Linked DNA regions of Kluyveromyces lactis. The main gene of each other region encodes a partner of the protein of the gene in region 2 in a complex. Links are inferred from orthologs where the notes say so. Each region holds a gene or a part of one and is shown on either strand. Other genes may lie near its edges. The genes, in order: GID8 and FYV10.

The links.
Region 1: the proteins of FYV10 (region 2) and GID8 are in contact, whole or in part, in a cryo-EM structure (PDB 7NS3), measured with the Saccharomyces cerevisiae proteins. The link is inferred for Kluyveromyces lactis from reciprocal best matches to the Saccharomyces cerevisiae genes FYV10 and GID8. Residues at the interface, in NP_012169.1 of Saccharomyces cerevisiae: Tyr243, Ile247, Phe250, Gln251, Phe262, Leu265, Lys266, Ser269, Gly270, Leu272, Ile273, Phe274, Lys276, Tyr277, Gln310, His314, Lys315, Ser316, Leu317, Pro318, Phe344, Arg346, Tyr347; in NP_013854.1 of Saccharomyces cerevisiae: Asn220, Leu224, Ile227, Ser230, Gln231, Ala235, Ala238, Ser239, Met245, Gln246, Leu248, Glu249, Leu250, Met252, Thr253, Leu256, Lys272, Leu274, Met357, Ala366, Asn367, Ser368, Val369, Trp370, Leu371.

Annotation. Positions count from the first base shown.
Region 1 is NC_006042.1:1,569,894-1,573,097, reverse strand, and holds GID8 (glucose-induced degradation complex subunit GID8), read right to left. Parts: upstream 1,809-3,204; coding exon 747-1,808; downstream 1-746. Other genes in the region: ERG29 (Erg29p), read left to right, coding at 1-657; GAT2 (Gat2p), read left to right, coding at 2,731-3,204. UniProt on the Saccharomyces cerevisiae protein: Component of the GID E3 ligase complex recruiting N termini and catalyzing ubiquitination of proteins targeted for degradation.
Region 2 is NC_006041.1:764,354-768,064, forward strand, and holds FYV10 (glucose-induced degradation complex subunit FYV10), read right to left. Parts: upstream 2,052-3,711; coding exon 645-2,051; downstream 1-644. Other genes in the region: BMT5 (25S rRNA (uracil2634-N3)-methyltransferase), read left to right, coding at 1-620; AVT7 (Avt7p), read right to left, coding at 2,525-3,711. UniProt on the Saccharomyces cerevisiae protein: Component of the GID E3 ligase complex recruiting N termini and catalyzing ubiquitination of proteins targeted for degradation.

The DNA.
Region 1 (3,204 bases), on a different chromosome or scaffold from region 2:
ATCAGAAAAGTAAACTTTCTTAAACAATACACTGATGACCCGCTAAGTGCCCGAATAACACTTTTTCTTGTGGTGATGGGAGGATTTGCTCTTGTGAATGAACTCTACATAACAATTCAAATGAGTGCCTTACAAATGGATACATGGGAACAATTGAACAGCACTAAATTGGACGAAGATTTTATTAGAAACCATCGATTCATACATGACGATTCGTACCATGCCACAGAATGGTTTGATGAAAAATCCGGTCTCATAATCGAGGAGTTCGAATCGAGGGAAAAGTTCTTTGCCAAACCTGTGCATGTCGCTCACATATACGTTAGATGCCAAGTTATCGACGAAGATACCAAAAAGCTTCTGTTGGATAATCCAATCACATTCCACATTGAATTCTCACCAGAAGAATTCGAAAATGAAAAAAGACCAGAGTTTGGTTGTACATTAAGGCTATTAAAATCAAAACTTTATCACTTCTTTAAAGATGGTCACTTTTATGATCAGTTCAAACAGCCAAGCAAAACCTTCACCATTACCAAAAATGTAAAAATCTACAACACCATGAGCGAGGAACTTCCAAAAAACCTCGACGATATTCAATTGTGTTTCTTAAAGATGGAAACTGGTGACACTATAGACTGTGAGTTTTTGGTGTGAAAATTGCAAGCTGCCGTTAAATGCTTGAAAACATAATGTGAATATAGGGAACCCATGCATATATAGTATAAAAGATTATAGATTTTGCACTAAATCACTCCTTCAACCCTCGGAACACCAACATCCGAACTATGCAATTGGTTTTCACACCAAACCCAAAGTTTCATGATTTGTACCAATCTAACGTCGTTAGGGATATAATAAGAATGCAAGTTCTCACCTAACTCTTCAAAGATTTCACCTTGTATGCGACTCATGTCGGAATTGGTGCTCATAGAACTTCCCTGCTTTTCTTCAATATGTGCTAGCTCTCCGGTAAGCCTTTCTGTCGTGATAGATTCCCTTGGAATGGATCGTATAACGTTTGTTAGAGTGGGAACTCGATTTGATTGGAAGCTGGATCCTAAGATGTCAGGTAAACCAGATTTTTCGAGTTGAGAGTTTATCCTCGGTAATATCGATTGCAAAAGCTTTCTGTTCACTAGATCAGCTACTTTAGTTCTCATATTTAAGGAATATAGCTGTTTCAACTTCTTTGGTAACTTAGCAGAAGGACTCGAACCATCCTCATCCGATAACGGGAAGAGAAGAAGGGTCATAACTAATTCGACTTCCTTCATATACTCTTTTTTGGAGCTTGCTTTCAAAGCAAGTTTATCCTGAGCATAAGAGATAAGCTCTAATATAAACTGCTCCTGATCGTTAGGGTCGCCCTTGGCGTTGTGGGAACGAATCATTTCAATAAGGTTCAACAACAATAGCTTGAAGTTCAAATCTTCATCTGTAATATGGTCATTCAAACTTTCGAGTACCTCTATTCCAAATACCTCGGTAATCTTTTCCATAGCTAGTAAAATTTCACCCTTCTTGATAAGTTCCTTGATGTATGCCCTTTTCTTAATCATATATACAGAGTTGAATTCTTCAATGTCTTTGTTGGAATTCAAAAACCCAAGCTCCTTAGCCATGCGGATACTAGATTCCTCATATGCCATCACCACAAAATAGTTCAATAATAACATTGGTATTACCGGCTCATTATTCGACAACTCACTGTTGCTGCGATCATAGGGATTGGCGTCCTGCACCACTTTCATCCATTGTTCTCTAGTGAAAGATTTCTTCTCATAGGTAGATTTAAAATTGGTCATCGTTTGTATGAAGCAATAAGTCTAGGGAAAACTAGATTGGCTTATGCTTAGCGCAAATAGTATAGTACCACTCTTTCTTTCAATATTAGGGGCTAAGGAAGTCTCACTTTCAACTTACAATTAGGTGCTCATTTTTTTGTTTTTCTGTTGATAATGCCCAGTTTCTTTACTAAGTGATGTTAAGGTTCATTTCGTGAAAAACCTTTGTGAATAAATAAGGGAACAGGCCTCTGACGACGAGGAAATGGGACAGATCAATTCTGAAAAGAAAAGGAGTTCATGTAGATATCAAATCGTGGTTTGTAGCTTCAGATAACAGTAATCGAGAAACTTCTCAATTTAAATCTTCTTGAATCTGGACTCTTTTTTTTGTATCTTTCAAGTAGAGGGAAACGATTCATGAGATGTCACTCATAGCAGCTATAGTCGACATTTTACGTAGTAATATACAAAACAGTAGACATATCGAGGGCATAACACAGATTTAAAAACTTTACAGTTTCAATATTCATTGGTTTAGGATCAATAATGAAATGGAGGAGGCAATCCAAGCCGTTTCTATATTCTAAATTGAAACTTACTTAGATTCTGATGACAAAAAAGTGTCAAATCAAATTAAGGAACTGAAATGATCTATACAAAAATGAAATGATATAAATATATGCGTACTTTTCCGAGTTCTTCGAACATCAAATAAGCCAGGTATTTAAGGCCAAGAGTAGATTCGAAACTAACAGAGAGGTAACTCGTTAGATTGCAATCTCATTATCATTCAATTGAAATAACAAAATAGAACCACAGAGCCAAACCAAATTTTTTTGCCAAGACACAGTCGATATCATTTTGAATAATATATTCGTTCAACATTGCTTATCACACATACACATAAATAGACATACGGCTAGTCAGTATAATTGTTATTATGACATTCATGGAAACTATGACAGCGTCGCTGGCACAAAAGGGGTCCCAAAGTCCCAAATCTGGTTCTATTTCATCATCTGCAACTCCTACATCGAGAACACCTCAATCATTATCCCAAAGTGTCAGCTACCATAGTGTTGCTTCCATCCCAAATCTATTGAACTACGACAGGCAGAACGATTCGAGTATTCGGACAAACAAGACGTCACAAACAAACATTACCGTTTCAACGACAGGAAATTTTCTTTCGTCGTCAAATTCGTCACCGCAAATTAGTCCTCGTCAAAGGGACTACCATTACGGTGGTCACTATAGAAGTGGATCCCTTGATTTTTTGGCTGACACTGCGATCGACCAGGATATGAATCAAGAAGAATTCAAACGGATTTTGAAAAGACTATCAGAGTACAATGAACAGTTGACATTTCATTTGCTGACATGGAGTTCCCAGAAGATTAAGGATGTTTTGGTC
Region 2 (3,711 bases):
AAAACTACAATTTCCTTAAAGAGAATGAAGTCGTCATGCTGTTCGGGATCGATGCAACAAACTTAAAAAAATCTTTGAAGATCACGAAAAAGACTCCATGGCAGAAAGTAGTGGGGAATTCATGGACTACAAAGAAACTGGATTTCATCTTATTCAATTTTCCACATACAGGTCGTGGAATAAAAGATCAAGGCAGAAATATTCACGAACATCAACAATTGGTGTACAAATACTTTGATAGTTGTAAGCAGCTGTTCAGACTCGTAAACAGTAGCCAGATTATGTTAAACTCAAGCATTTCTATGGGTGGATACTCACTAAATAATGAAACTCGAGTTGATGATGAAGGTTATGGAAAAGTGGTTCTTTCTCTATTTAGTGGCGAACCATACGATTCATGGCAAATAAAAATACTAGCGAAAGATAACGGTTGGAAAGTGGATAGATCAGGGAAATTCGACTGGTCCAAGTTTCCAGGGTATCATCACAAGCGTACCAATAGTGAAATGGATACTACCAAACCAGCTGAGGAAAGAGATGCCAGAATGTACGTTTTCGAAATGTTCAATAAACGTAAACATTCCAAAAAACCTTTGAAAGACGACAGCGATGATGAATAAGAAAATACATATTCTCTATTATATCTAAGTAGGATACATTTTGATAAAGTCTGTTGTAGCATATATTGATTTATCAATAGGGTCCATCACTTGGTTTTCTTTAAGTTTAGTGTACCCCATTTTGTTTAGTTTTCGAGATAATGATATTAGCTTTTCAGAGTCGTAAATATTGCCATTTGGCAACATTACTGGATTTTCAAATAAACTCGATTGGATATGATGGGCAAATGGTAAGTTTTCAGATAGAGGGAATATGTCATGATTGCATACGGGACAATCTGTATTGACAACGTTAGATTTAATGTATTCATTTACTTCCGGATTTTCATGAGGGATTAGTTGCGCGGAAATGGTGTGACCACAATCCTTTGTTTTTAACGAAGAGATTCCTAAGGATATATATATTAATAGTGGATCGTGGTAAGATATTTTGTAGAGTGAGTAAAATTCATGTAGGAACATTTTATTCAAACTTTCCCATCTCTCGTGGTCCAATAATGGACCATATCGACATAATTCAGCATTGTGAACAACGTTACTAGAAGAAATTGATGACAACGGATGTGGTCGATACATTTGTTTTCTAAAATAGGCATGAAACAACTTTTGTTCGTTTGTTACTTCGTCGTCACGACCATTGTTGAGGCAGCTTTTGAAGAAAGCAAGAATACCCGCTGCCAGTTTTAGTTCTTTGGGATATATATTTGCGAAATGGGCAAGGTGTGTTTGGAAGCACCTGATTGCTGCTTTATAATCGGAACATCGTACTAATTCAATGTACTCCTGCAATAACGCTTGGAACTGTAAATGCGAACCTTTTTCTGTCAAGTGCGCAGAGTTATTTTCAATCCACTCTAATAGAGGACGAAGGTTTTTATTTTCTATAAGTTCCATAGATATCTGATTAGCTTCTATGAGAACTTCGTAATCAATCAAATCCTCTAATCCCCTAGTCTTTATAAACTCTATGCCAGAGTTTGATGCAATCTTGTTTTTATGATCTATAGAATTCGAACCATGCCTTACCAAATAATCGGCAATTAACAAATCCGTGTATGACCTGTACCATTTTAGAAGCTTGTCAGTGTTAGAATCATATTTGAATCTTTCAAACTGCTTGAAGTATTCTACTCTCTTCTCAATCCTTTCTAAAATTGTTAACTCATTATCATGTAGTTGCGATAGTCTCTTCTGCAAAATGTTCACTGTGTTGATTATATCATTCAATTTTTCTATTGATTGCTCATCCTTATTTGGATCTTCAAGTAAAGTGTTCAAAGTAGCGAATTGTCCCTGTAGCTCTACTGAATAGCTTGTATATAGGTTGTTGAATTTATCCCAGTTTCGCTTTAACAATTCGGAAGGAATGTTAAACTGCTGCTGGTTTAATTTTAGGTGAAAATCGACATTAGGTTCGTTTAACGAAGTCATAATGACATCTAAAGGCTTTTTGGTAGATTTACCGTCACCAGTATTACACTGATTGATCCAGTTTGTCAGTTATTTGGTTCATCCCTAAAGATTAAGGTATATTGTGAAAACCCCTTTCAATTTTCTTATGCAATTTGATGCAGAAATACAAAGATATAGTTACCATGAATGAAATACATCAACCGGTACGCTGGAAAAAAAAAATTGCTAAAGTCGAGTTGATGCAGTACCAACTGGAGGGTAGGAATATCAGGCGAAACATTACAGACGTTTGTTTATACACTGTTAGTGAAAAGATAAATACCAATGGCTAAGTGTTGCGCCTAAAGTTTAAGACCCAGAAAGCATCAAACAGACGAGGACAGAATATATTACATTTTAATAATTTTATTTAGAAAGCTCCTTGCTCATAATCTAGCCAAGAAAGAATGATTGGAACCATTGAATGATTTAACTGCGAGATGCTGAACTGGTCATACAAAAAGTGTGATATACACACAACTTACCATAATAATAAGACCGTACCAGACTAATGCCAGACTTCCATATCTGTGAGCTTTATCCCATCCTCCGATTCTCTCACCGTTCATCAAAGATTCAGTACCAATTAACTTCCACCCAAATAATCCTGGCAACGTGAATGAAATGGCTGTAGAACCAGTTGCACCAACAAGTGCAAGAACTAAAGCGAATGACTCAACGTTTAGCGCTAGAACGTATAGTACAGCAAGTAAGAAGAAAGTGACAGTCAAAAATCTGGAATCAGGGAATGGGACTGCTTCAGTGCGTTCATCAACCTGATCATCATTATCATCGTCGGTTGCCCTCGGTAGTGATTGGTACGTGTGGACAAATGAAGTGTCATGGGAGGAGCCTAGCTCTTGTTCGAGGTATTCTCTATCAGTATCATCCTCAATTTCCAGGGTAATAGGCCCTATCGTTTCATCTATTTCAGACTTTGTTCCATAGTTCAATTGTAACCAATGGACCATATTGTTCGCCGATATACGGCAAGGATGGAACAACAAGGGAAATGACAAAACAACCATCAGGCCAAGATTGAACCTAGCAAATCTGACAGAGAGCTTATCAGCATCATAGTTTAGTATGACATTTCCCAGAGTTTCTTTTCCGAAAGTCAAATATCCGAACAGCCCCAAGATTATGAAACAGGCGGATGATACTACGATGGAATTGTTTATGATCTTTTTGATATTTGTCATTGAATTTTCCTTCAATTCATTTATTATCGAAAATAGATTCATTGAACCAGTAAATGCAAATACAATAATACTAAATGTCGTCAAGACTCCAGATCTATCCGATATAGAGAACCAATCAACTTTGGGTTTTGGGTAATTTCCGAAGGAATAGCTTCCAATAATCAATAAACCAATGTAACCCAATGCCAACAGACCAATAACACTAGTATATTTCAAGCTATCAAAATGTCTTAATAAAGATAACGGAACGATAATGATTGCTGACAACAATATCCAGTTTGTCCTCGTGCCGCCAAATAACGCTGGGAATAAGTCACCAATTAAGATCAAATAAGAAAGAGCAACCCCAAAACATTGTATGAACATAGCAAAATCAAACAGCAAAGACAGATTAGGATATGTAATAGAACATAAAGTGAAAAAAGAAGAGTGACGTG